Linked DNA regions of Neodiprion lecontei. The protein of the gene in region 2 binds, or shares a complex with, the protein of the main gene of each other region. Links are inferred from orthologs where the notes say so. Each region holds a gene or a part of one and is shown on either strand. Other genes may lie near its edges.

The links.
Region 1: probable small nuclear ribonucleoprotein Sm D1 (region 2) and pre-mRNA-splicing factor CWC22 homolog share a complex: the UniProt entries of both Homo sapiens proteins name them as parts of the minor spliceosome. The link is inferred for Neodiprion lecontei from reciprocal best matches to the Homo sapiens genes SNRPD1 and CWC22.

Annotation. Positions count from the first base shown.
Region 1 is NC_060261.1:13,514,821-13,522,433, forward strand, and holds pre-mRNA-splicing factor CWC22 homolog, read left to right. Parts: upstream 1-2,151; 5' UTR 2,152-2,538; coding exon 2,539-3,414; intron 3,415-3,491; coding exon 3,492-3,809; intron 3,810-3,953; coding exon 3,954-4,107; intron 4,108-4,212; coding exon 4,213-4,365; intron 4,366-4,529; coding exon 4,530-4,756; intron 4,757-4,829; coding exon 4,830-5,110; exon of another isoform or gene 5,111-5,181; coding exon 5,182-5,283; exon of another isoform or gene 5,284-5,352; coding exon 5,353-5,513; intron 5,514-5,640; exon of another isoform or gene 5,641-5,757; intron 5,758-5,795; coding exon 5,796-6,133; 3' UTR 6,134-6,400; downstream 6,401-7,613. Other genes in the region: tetratricopeptide repeat protein 14 homolog, read right to left, coding at 1-96; EF-hand domain-containing family member B-like, read right to left, coding at 6,418-6,616, 6,739-6,868, 6,973-7,153, 7,318-7,488. UniProt on the Homo sapiens protein: Required for pre-mRNA splicing as component of the spliceosome. As a component of the minor spliceosome, involved in the splicing of U12-type introns in pre-mRNAs. Promotes exon-junction complex (EJC) assembly.
Region 2 is NC_060261.1:43,621,992-43,627,260, reverse strand, and holds probable small nuclear ribonucleoprotein Sm D1, read left to right. Parts: upstream 1-2,218; 5' UTR 2,219-2,363; coding exon 2,364-2,377; intron 2,378-2,593; coding exon 2,594-2,670; intron 2,671-2,808; coding exon 2,809-3,006; intron 3,007-3,175; coding exon 3,176-3,258; 3' UTR 3,259-3,705; coding exon of another isoform or gene 3,706-3,936; 3' UTR 3,937-4,067; downstream 4,068-5,269. Other genes in the region: NEDD8-activating enzyme E1 regulatory subunit, read right to left, coding at 3,706-3,936, 4,193-4,329, 4,407-4,609, 4,672-4,805, 4,876-5,269. UniProt on the Homo sapiens protein: Plays a role in pre-mRNA splicing as a core component of the spliceosomal U1, U2, U4 and U5 small nuclear ribonucleoproteins (snRNPs), the building blocks of the spliceosome.

The DNA.
Region 1 (7,613 bases), about 30 Mb from region 2:
CTCGTTCTCATTCCGCTCTCCTTCCCACACCTTCTGTAACTGCTGCCCATGGTAGTTCAACGCTTGCGCAACTAAGCGCGGCTCCATAGACTCCATAACTGATTCTCAGCCTTGTTGATAAAACCTATAAGACTGTAGTAGAAATAGGTCGAATTTTTTCTTCACCTAGCACCATATTCTTAAGGAAAAAATGTTCATTATAAGTAAGAACTGAAACTATCTCTAGTATTCATACTACTTCTGATAAAAACTACTTGAGAAGTATACGAATGATAAATCTATTGGCCATAATTAATAGTTCTTTGTTTGCCAAAGCGAATTCATCAAACTGGTACTAGTAGCCAAAGCTAGCAATTCCATGACACAAAGTTATACCAGCATCGAATGGTTTAGCTGCTGACTTTGGCTGTTAGTTTCAGCATCGTTAATGTAATATATATTCATTACTCACATTAAGCACAGATTTTTGAAACAATTTTTGAGCCAAAAAACATTGTAACAAGTTATTGTAAAAGCGAGCCCCACAGCTTAATTTTAGTTCTCAATGCTTAATTCTTGAATTTAACAATAGATGGAAATGAAGATAAGAATTGGGCGTACATAATATATACGTAATTATATGCTATGAATATTGTATATGTGTAAAACATGTATCATGTTCAGTGAAAGTTATTCCTAAAGGGTCTCAGATACGAGTTAAAATTGAAGTAATTGTGAGAATAGGAGTAATGATGCGTCAATCCATAATTTCGAATCAGTTCATTTGCAAGCCTATGTAGGATGAATGAATTATAAATGAATCAAACGAGTTTAATATCGATTTGTTGATAACAGCAAAATGGTCGTTTCGGTGAGTTTCAGGAACGACGCCATATCGCCTCATGCTGATACTACTTGATGCGGCAACGCGGACAAAAAAAAAAGAAACGGAAACAACCATACGAGATCTTTCACCGATGACTAAAATATCCGAAACATTGCGATTTTGTCTATTTCGTTTTGTTCATAATTAACGTGAAACTCACCTGATGATGAAATATCACTGTACCGGTAGATCAACACTGCGATTAAACCACGTACGCTAACGAGCCACCATTTTCATTGGTAGCGAACACATCCACTTGGTCCTCACACATATATACCTCACGTGCAGGCTCCAGTCGGCTGACTACTCGCGTCAAGCCGTGTGTCGGCCCATTTTGTTCACTTTGCAACTGCTAAATAAGGTGCGTTCCGAAACTAGCTGCAGCGTCAAAACTCCCTAGGACAGAGACAGAGCCGCCCACGAACTTGGCAGCACAAAAGAGATAAAAGATGGCTGACAACACTGGGAGCTAATTTCGGAACGCATCCGTTAATAGGTTTGTTCGTGCTAGCTACACTTTCTACACTTTCGTGGGGAGTGTACACTTGCGCGTTCGTTTTAGCGAACGTGACGTCGATGGCGCTGTTCGTTTTACAAATGTCACTAGACTTTCGTTACACTTTGGCCATGTTCGTAAATTGACTGCCAGTACTAAAAATTCTCTAGGACAGAGACAGAGCTATCCATGAACTCGGCAGCGCAAAAGAGATAAAAAATTGCTGATAGTACTGTCAGTCAATTTTCGAACACGGCCTTTGTGTACACTTTTTACACTCGGTCTAGACCAAGTGTAAAAGGTGTAAAAAGTGTAAATGGTTCAATTCGCATGAATGCTACAGGTTTTTCCACCACGTTAGTGAACTGTGATGCGATATATACCCTAAAACTCACGAGTGACAACAAACCCATAACCTCACTCCAAATCAGAACAAAGCAGTACAGTATTTTACTTCAAAAACAAGGTTCAATTTGATAACAGTGTACTTAAAACATAAGGTATGAAAGATTTCGTTAACAAATTCCAAAAATGCTTTATCTTATTTACTAATTTGTTGTATTAATAAGTGTTTCGAGGAAAAAAACGACTGTACGTAACGTGCGCCATTTTCTTGTCCCCACTTCTCTGCACCTTCTACACTATTGCGTTCGCGCTATTTTAGCTACACTCGAGAAGCGAACGTACACTCCCCAGCAATCCCTAGTACACTACCCTAGTTCTTTTTACACTTGTGAGTGTAGAGTGTAGCTAGCACGAACAAACCTAGTGTGTATAACTTGGATCAATTATGATCTGTGGTCTTGCTGCAGTAAACGTATTTGTCGCGTGGTATACATGGTTTTACCCCGTTCATTGGCATACGAGTTTATCGTAATACCGGCGCGGCTGGATCGACTAGAGCACGACTAGAGTGGTTCGAAACTACGCGCACAGCGCTCCGACCTGACATTTTGTACTACAAGTTTTTTGGGGTTAATGGTTCCATGTGTCTTGTGGCAATAATGAGCCTTGTGGTCCGAACTTACATATTTTTATTGATTTGAGTGCACTATAAACAGCAATTTTTTTTTTTAAATACAGAGAAATAAAATTCGCGCTGCTTAATGTCATAAATTTTTCAATCAATATTCTTATTCATAGTAATTATTGATGTGATAATTGGTAATAATTCATTATGTCTGAGAACACAATGAAAGCCAAACCTGACAAGAGGTGTTCGCCATCGATAAACAGTGACGATGAAACTGAACACGATAAACGTTCGAGGAGAAGTAAACGTAAGAACGATGGTTCAGACTATGAAGATAAGAGTGATCGTCACAGTAGGCGAAAGGAGAGAAGTGATTCTAAATACTACAGGAGCAACAACAGTAGCAGAAATGGCAGAGATAGAGACAGGAGACGACATAGGAATGACAAGGAACGAACTCGTCGAAGTGAAGACGACAGGCAAACAGCCACAGATGAGAATGATAGATCGTATCGAAAGGGTCATGACTCGAATGACAATGGTTCACTACGTAGATATTGGAGCGATCAGTACTGGAACAAGTATCCGACCAATAAACAAGAAAGAATAGGACAGCGTTTTTATGGCGGTCGTCACGAGGAGAGGAATGAATCACCCAAACGTCGCTACGACGATAAAGAAAATGATGAGGATGTCGCGTGTGCTGAAAAGAATCAGATCACGGTGGAAAATGAACGAGAAAAAATTACACCAGCGCAAAAGCGAACGGTGGATCTTCTGACATCGAAAACTGGTGGTGCTTACATTCCACCAGCCAAACTCCGCATGATGCAGGCTGAGATCACTGACAAATCGGGAGCTGCATACCAGCGGATATCTTGGGAAGCCTTGAAAAAGTCCATTCATGGATACATTAATAAAGTCAACACCAGCAATATCGGATTAATCACTAGAGAATTGTTACACGAGAACATTGTCAGAGGTCGAGGCCTGTTGGCGAGATCTATTATTCAGGCTCAAGCTGCCTCCCCTACTTTCACACCTATCTATGCAGCACTTACTGCTGTGATCAATTCAAAAGTACATGATTTATATTATTGATGTTGGTTTCCTTTTTTTAATATTATTCTGAAATGCTCACATCATTTCTTTTTCAGTTCCCTAATATTGGTGAATTGTTGCTCAAGCGTCTAGTCATACAGTTCAAGCGTGGATTTCGCCGTAATGATAAAGCTCAGTGCATTTCTTCGGCCACGTTTGTTGCCCATTTGGTCAACCAGCGTGTTGCCCATGAAATCTTAGCTTTGGAAATACTAACTTTACTAGTAGAGACGCCAACTGATGACTCCGTCGAAGTTGCCATCGCATTTTTGAAAGAATGTGGCATGAAACTCACAGAGGTTTCCAAGAAAGGGATCGAGGCAATATTTGAAATGCTTCGCAACATCTTACATGAAGGACAGCTGGATAAAAGAGTAGGTAGAAACACCTGAAATCATAAAACGTTGACATTAGTTTGGTTTCAATATTTTATGATCTATTAAGGATGTTCCATTTTACTTTAATTATGCTGCATAGTTTCTTAATTAAATTTCACCACTGACTTGAACATATTTCAGGTACAATATATGATAGAAGTTATATTCCAAATTAGAAAAGACGGATTTAAAGATCACGAGGCTGTGAATGAAGAGCTTGACCTTGTTGAAGAGGATAACCAGTTTACTCACCTTGTGACTTTGGACGAAGCAACTGACCCTCAAGATGTACTGAGTAAGACTTGCACAAATATACGGCTTGCATTGACTTCATAATTGTCGGCATAGCTATAACATGACATTTCAAAATGTGGCATCTATCAATTTTTTTTTCTCATAGACGTTTTCAAGTTCGATCCGGACTACATTGCAACAGAGGAAAAATATAAAGCATTGAGCAAAGAGATTCTTGATACTGACAGTAGCGGTTCAGATGGTTCTGATGGTGATGAAGAAGATAACTCCTCTGACGAGGAAGATAGTAATATCACAGGTAACTTGATTTTCAGATACATGTATTTGTGATGGAATTTGTAATTGTGGAGATGAAGGCGTAATTCCTTCCAAAATATAATATCAGTGACTATTTCCTACCTTATTAAAAGTCCCTCAAATTCTGTAATATTTGATATAATAAAGTAAAACGGATTCTTTCAGGAGAAGCAAAGGAAGATGTTATAGTCGACAACACTGAAACTAATTTAACAGCGTTGCGCAGAACGATTTATTTAACTATTCATTCTTCTCTCGACTTTGAGGAATGTGCGCACAAATTGATGAAGATGCAGCTGAAGCCTGGGCAAGAAATTGAACTATGTCACATGTTCCTGGACTGTTGCGCAGAGATGAGGACATATGAGAAATTCTTTGGTCTCTTAGCTGGGGTAAGTGCTTCTTAGCGGTTGCTCAATGTTTTGTGAAACATCTGTATTTTGATTGAATGACTTGCTTTTTCAGCGATTTTGCGCGATTAACAAAATCTACGTGACGCCGTTTGAACAAATTTTCATCGATTCGTACGATACAATACATCGTTTGGACACCAACAAACTACGTAACGTGTCCAAATTCTTTGCTCATTTGTTGTTCACTGATTCCATTTCTTGGGAGGTTCTATCTTGCATAAAATTAAATGAAGAAGATACTACCAGCTCTAGTCGTATCTTCATAAAAATTTTATTCCAAGAATTATCCGAGTATATGGGACTTTCAAAATTAAATCAGCGTGTGAAAGATGTGTAAGTAATGTCTTTATTAGATATTGATGTGTTGTACTTCTTCTATTTGAAACTGTTTTTTTGATTCAAAGGACTTTGCAAGGAGCCTTCGAGGGTTTATTTCCACGAGATGATCCAAAGAATACAAGATTTGCTATCAATTTTTTCACTTCCATTGGTCTGGGTGGTCTTACGTAAGTTATATTCATTTTTACTAATTGAAATTCCAACAATATTTTTCTATATGAATGCTGTAATTTCAGGGATGAATTACGAGAACACTTGAAATCGCGTCCGAAGCCAGCTGTAGTGCCAGAATTTGTTGAAGACAAAAAAGAGTCGTCTAGTTCCAGCAGTTCATCTTCATCTAGTTCCGAATCCTCGTCGAGTTCATCGTCGTCGTCATCATCATCCGAGACTGCAAGTACGAAATTTTTCATATTTCTAAATAATGATTACAATCGCAAAAATTGCGAATATGTATATTTTTAAAATTTTCCAACTTAAAATTGATTATTTGGGGGATTAGAATTTCATGCCAAAGTCGGTACCTGAAACTGCTAATTTTTTTTTCTGGAAAAACCAGTGGACCACTCGTTTTTTAGTAATTTACAAGTCAGGTAAAGAAATGAAATTTTTTTGTCATTTTTCGTAACTCTTCACTCTTGCTGTAAAAAAGGAAAGAAAAAAAATCTATATTTCCTAGGTTCTTCTGAATCTGACGACCATCGGAAAAAGAAATCTGCGAAAGAAAAAACCCAAAAAAAGAAGAAGAAAAACAAAACGCGAGTGACAAAAAAGAAACTAAAAAACAAATCAATCGTGAAAGATGTTTGGGATATAGAAACTGATAGAAACTGTATTAGCAGCACTCACGAGACAAATGAAGGGCGCAGGAATAGCGATAAAACGCCTAATGATAGATTGAGTCAATCAAAACGATCAACCAAACCAAATCGGCATGGAGAATGGGACAGGGAAAGTGACGATCGGACAAACACGCACAAGGACAAAAATAATAGGCATAGAAGGCATAAGGATTAGTGAATAATGACAGTAATTTTTATAATGTAACAAATAATGAATCACAATATCTCGTTGGCTGTATATTTCGCCTCTAACGCATCAACATACTGGGAATTTATTTGAACAGATATTCTCTATTATGAATAAAAAAAAAAATACCTTGACACTCCTGTTATTTAGTCGATTTCATGGGGTTAATAAACTTTGAATGAATTCAGTTGAATTCAATAAAGGTTAACCCCTCCGGAAATGATCACGTTTCAACTTCTGATTTGTCTCCAAAATCCCAAAATGCAAAAGTTTTAATACGCCTCAGGTGTATGGCACACTGAACGACCAAGAGGAGCATGAGTCCTGTTGATAAAGTCTGCTTGGAGGTTACTAACGATTGATGCAACATCTTGCTTGAACCACCTCATCGACTGCTTAACTTGACTACCCTCTTTATCGATTCTATTTTTCTTGCCATACTTGTAATTTTTATTGAATGGCTCAACATATCTGTCGTAAATAACAATTACATGTAAATCATTTAAAGCAAGGAAATCATAAACATATTCCATCTATTTAAAATATCAGTAACGCTATTTTTTGTGGCAATAAAATTCCAACAGAATGCTCACTTTCGATTGATTTGTTCAGAAACATCATAATTATTGTGACTTTTCCTGTAAAGTCGATGGCCAATGCGAGAAGCTAAAATAACTTCAGTCACAGTTTTTCGAGGATTTACCAATTCTGCTGCTGTACCATCTAAAATATTGTGACGCAAATGACTAAATTTTTTTTATTCTAATGTCAGAATTTCCAATAATATATGTAAATGATTTCGAATGCTTATGACTAAAGAAAGTTACTGGACATAGTGCGTTTTCCAAAAATTGTTGTAACAGGGTCAACGCCGTTTGGTAAATTTGATTTTTGGCCTGAAGTTTTACCAACTTCTTTTTTCCAGTAACTGTTCATAGCTGTATCTCTTAGCTCACAGATTAGCAATTGAAACGGTGTCCGTTTAGTCATTTCCAAACAGGTTTTTACCTTGATATAACGGATCAAAAGCTCAGAAAGTTTTCAAAATTCTATAACATATATCACCGATATCAGAGAAAAAGGTCGCTTGGACCAACGTGGTTGGTTTAAATAGAAAAGCTCTCATATCATCGGCGAAGAAGCTGAAGAACATAAATTGCCCTGGTACATACTCCAGTGTGAGTGCCGAGGTCGGCAGTACCAATCGGTAATTGATGATTGAAGCCATCGTCTTCTCTTTTATCAGTAATATGCAATTTAGATTTCAATGCATCAATACTGTCTTGGAGTTTGTAATCTTTAAAACACGTTTCCAATCCATCTTCCAAAATCACAGTTCCAGCCTACAGTAAATAAGTATTTAATAAAGCCGCATGACACGTCAAAGATCAGCATTTGAAACGTTGTTTTTTCTTATGGTTATTACAAAATTCCAAGATATTGTTCATGCGGAAAATGAAAAAAGTTC
Region 2 (5,269 bases):
AACAACATCGTATTGTAGATAATACGCTGCAGTATTTATATTGTGGTATAACCTGTACGAGAAAAGAAAACAAAACGTCCGATCCTGGATACAAAATTCCTTTTTTTCGCTTAGCTTGTAATAAATGTTTAAAATTTCCAATTTGTGTAAAATTATAATGCTTTGCCGAGATAAAGCGTGTGATCTATTGCAGTGAGTTTTCGCACGACTGTACAATATGCAAAAATCGGTGTTACCATTTATCGTTTTATCCGAGCCCCCCACCTATCCTGCGCTAGAATTCTTTTCACGCGCTGTATCGTTTGACGTGGGTGCGTGCCTCCGGATGCGGCAGCGACTCCGATCGGGCCTCGAGGCCCCCTCGAGGATTTTGCTGACGTAGACGATGACGTCACACCAGCGTGAGACCGTCGGGACATCATTGTCACAGCCGTACGCCTCGGCAATTCTGGGTAGACGTGATTAGAGAACCTCAAGTAAGAAAGGTAAAAAAAAAAAAAATTAACGTATCGAGATCACTGCGCCGGACTCTCCAATGACTTGCGGCTCTCCGTATACATGTATAAACGTATACGCAGTTATACCGAGGTAATAAAAATACAGAAATTTCGACCGTCAATGTAGGTACTCGTAAACAAGTTTTTGGAATAATTCTAACCAGCTAACGGACGTCGAGGAACCATGGGTAAACGAAGCCGACGGTTTTTGTGGTAAAGGTGAAGGACCAGAATGAAGGAGAGTCCACGTTTATGGTATACGTAAAGCGGGAGGCCTTTAAGGAGGCCTGTAATAAAGCTGGATAAACATCGAGAACAGTAATGGTTGGAAATACGTTGTATTATTGTGCCTATGCATATAAGGTGCAAGTTAGTTTGTCGGGATACACCGAGTCATTCTTCGCCTCCCCACCTCTCGCTTTCATACATGATTCATCGACGATGTACGCGACCACTTACGCGCAAGTTTTGTTATTCCAATACGATGTTTAAAATCCAGACGCGTTTTGCATACGCGATCACCTCTGTAATAGACTGCAAATGCAATAATGTATTAAGTGCCGCGATTCGCGAATCTGGGTTCACAATATTTTACACTAATTTTACACTTTCAATTTCACGGATTTATAATAGCGTATGACGTATGTTAATTAACATGACCTGTATAGATATATGGTTATACTCATTGATTAATTTTCGTTGAAATCAGAATGTGGGAAACAGTTGGCGGTTAACATTATGTACGTAAGCTCGTAATATTTGTAAAAGCTTATCAGATATATATTAAACAGCATTGAACGAAGAGCTCTACGACCTACCTAATAGTAGGTATTGTGATCGATCTCCGTACGATGAAATTATGCAGGACTAACGCTTGCCTAATATAAATATTATGGATAATATGTCTGATGTGTACGTCTTATACAGCAGCGTAAAGCACACAAGCTGCGTAGCCACTTACACGGACGATAATCATCTGTCGATCGACAACTTGCAATAAACTTATCTAATTTCTCCCCTTGGATGGATACGTATAACGCATGATGTGCAATGCATACGTATGTTGTACGTTGGTATAATACCTGCGTTTTATCGTGATTAGTAAGTGCAGGGTGAGTGCAGATGGAATACGCCGTGGCCGTTTGTGGCAAAACATCGCGTGCACCGAACTCAACCGGGCTTATGACAATATGTGTAACCTTCCGTAGGTAGTTCTTCGTCGAGCGTGCAGATGAGTTCGTCTAGAGGAAAAACAAGCACATCAATTAGTAGTGAGTAGCGACGTGACTGACTTGAGTTAAATACTCCTCGGCGATTAATTATATCCACGATGTTTACAACAACTCGTATATACATAATACATACAGGCATATGAAGAGTTATGCGTCGATGACCCTTGTACAACTTCACGCATCAAGGGAAATCGAAATAAAGTTGAAAAAACACTTGTGTGGGCGTATCATGGATATCGTCAAATAACAAAATTGATTTTCCAACGTTCTGCGAGATACCTCATCAACTTTTGGAAACTGGATACGTAAGGTAAACGTTTGAGAAAATTAAGTTGTATCAATTGGTATCTCACGAAAATTGTACAATCGACAATTCTGTGTAGACAATATTCAGAACTGTGTACATATAATTCGATACAAAATTCGATTTTCAAGCCAGATTTGGCGTGACTTAATTGTCGAATCGAACTTGTTACTCCGTGAATATAGACACAAAGTACAGTTTGTCGGAAAATCCGTGTTCATCGAGTGGCGCTGCTTTCGACGCGTCCAGCCCGCCGAACTTCGGCCGTTGAAACGATGTTTATGGTTTGCCGGTGCTTGTGAATTTTTATACGAAAAATCCATCGGCATCATGAAATTAGTGAGGTAAAAATTTGCCGATAATTAATCATTCCGTCGATCGAAGTTTTAGATTGCTATAAATTCGGATAGTTTTTTTTCTTAACTACCGTGTGATTGTAGATACTGATTTAAATCCCGTACCTAACCTGCCTCTATGAGTGATGTTGCAATTACGTTACGAACACCGTTAATGCAATGAGTGAAAAGACACTGGATTAATTGGGATATTTCGTGTTTCAGATTTTTGATGAAACTCAGCCATGAGACGGTTACGATAGAACTGAAAAATGGCACCCAAGTTCACGGAACTATCACAGGTTTGTAAACATAACCTATGCCATTTGACTTGACACAATCAAATCACAGTTGGAATAGCGTACAGAGCAGGCCGCTTCTCTTTTGTCTCCAAGTGAAATAGTTTTTGCAGATGCATGACAAAAATGTTTATTTTTAAGGTGTGGATGTGGCCATGAACACCCACTTGAAAACTGTGAAGATGACGATAAAGAACAGAGACCCTGTACAACTCGATACGTTGAGTTTGAGGGGAAACAACATTCGATACTACATTCTGCCTGATTCCCTTCCCTTGGAAACTCTGCTTATCGATGACACGCCCAAGGCTAAAGCAAAGAAGAAAGAAGCCGCACGAGGTCCTTATAGTCATTCAAGTTTTGCGGCCTTTATGATCAATTTTATTTATGTTTTAGTATTTTCTGTGACTAATCTTCCTTGATTCAATTTTCGACACATTCAATCCAGACTTTGCAATAGTATTCTAATACATATCGATGATTTCTAATCCTTGTTTTTCTGTACTAGGTGCGGCTCGTGGAAGAGGCCGTGGTGGACGTGGCGCTAGAGGTGGACGTGGAGGTCGTGGCAGAGGAAGAGGCAGGCGATAGTGTTTGAAATAGTTGATCCATTGATGATTTTTGAGAAACGTAACGAGGTGTTGTATTCTGCGATTTCTCTTCCCACGCACCTCGGTGAATTACACCACTGACCAACGTTTTATATTCTTAAACAAGTCTAATACCAATGCATTCTAGTTTAAGTTCGATAAAAACGTTGATATCTCACAGACATGAAGTTAGCCTGTAAGCCTTATCTGACGTAATAATAAAATGAAATTCTTTTTTTTTTTTTTTGTCAAAAATCAATCATCAAATCTTTTTTATACACAAAAGCATTTTCGTATTTTTAATTTAACGATATTCATTCATCTTTTGGCGTGTGTTGCAGACTAGGTAATTTAATGCTTAGCCAAGTTGTATGGAAATAGTGAATTTTATTTCATGATTACGTGATTATAGTATTACGCGATAGTATTGCAAATTTTCTATTACTATTCAAATAAAGAAACTAGCCGAATTTGACGTTACCGCGTCGTATATAAAAGTGTTGTGGATCGGCTTGCATTGATTAGTTATGAATTTTATAGTCTCCTGCGCAGCTAGCCCTCCTAAGAACGCCGACACCGAATGTAGTTCAGATCCGCCGTAACGGCAAAATTCATGGACGTAGTCATCCTTTGCCAATGGCCCACAACCCCACTCCATCAGCAATTTTGAAATACAGGCCTGAGTACACATACAAACGTAGAAATATGTTAGATATTATGAAAGCTTTGTTTCTATTGGTATGGTGGCCCTAAAAACAGATTTGAAAATTCCTGTGTTGTCGAGAATCAGAATTAAACGATTATAAAGAATATACTTGGATCTAATCCCAATTCTGTTCGCACACATCCCAAATGTGATAAGTTATCGCTAGTTGAAACATACTCTACTATTTACAAATTTTAACTTTGCTCTACGCTAGGCTTTGAAATAGTACCTTAAGTTTCACAATATCTGGTTCAACGTGATCGTCGAATTCGCCTGGATACGAATTGTATTCCACCTGGAATTTTTCGATCCCTCTGAGTACCACGTAGTACACCATCATACTTTCAGGATTTTCTAGACTTTGAGCTAAAAGAGTCAACATTATTTACATGAGCTATATACAGCTGAAAGTAAAATATGAATGAAATGAAAGTAAGGCGTACTCATTTCGCTGGCATCCACAGTTTTTGGATCATACTCATCCGCTATACAGGATCCCCTTTGAATGTAAATGTTAGAAGCATGTCTACAAAATAACTTGACATCTTTTTCTGTTATCGCATCCGAGGGGCGACCAATCTGTCTGAGCAAATGGACTGTTCTTCGCCAAACTGCTTCCGCATCTGCTGCGGCTTGTTTGTGATACCTGAAATTTATTATACATTGAGATGTCCGTTCGGCACTTACATTAAATTCACGTACACTCACACTTGTTGCAGGGATATATATTTTTCTGTATCTGCCGTCATGTCTGGTACAGCACCTTTGAGTGGCAATGAATTTGAACCATCATTCTCCATGAAGTCTTTTACAGCCTTGGCGATAATCCAAAAAGGTTTACTCTAAAATTTTCATCATTATGTTTTGTCCGAAATGTGTCGAAGTGCTCAAACAAAAAAGAAACGATACTACCTTGGCGGTAAGGTTTATACAGCAATCGTCATTCAGGACCTCCATGACGCTGGGAGGTACCTCGTAACGTCCAACGCTGGTATTAACAGCTTTGATTGCTTCCTCAAAGTTTTCCTCATCAATAGGATTATTGTGCTCATCTTTTCTAATACCACTCCTGATCATATCTCTTAGCTGCTGTTTCTCCTTATAATTTTTTGGTACATCCCCATTCTCAGATATCCACTTCTCAAGGTATTTGTACAGAATCACAACATATGGAACGTGAGTGTGATCCTTCAGGTCCAGTTCGTCCAAATTTATTGAATCAAAATGATTTTTCAATGTTTCAAACGGATTGTCCAATCGCAAATCAGGTGTCTCGTTGTCCGGGTGAGTTTCTATGACAGTATGT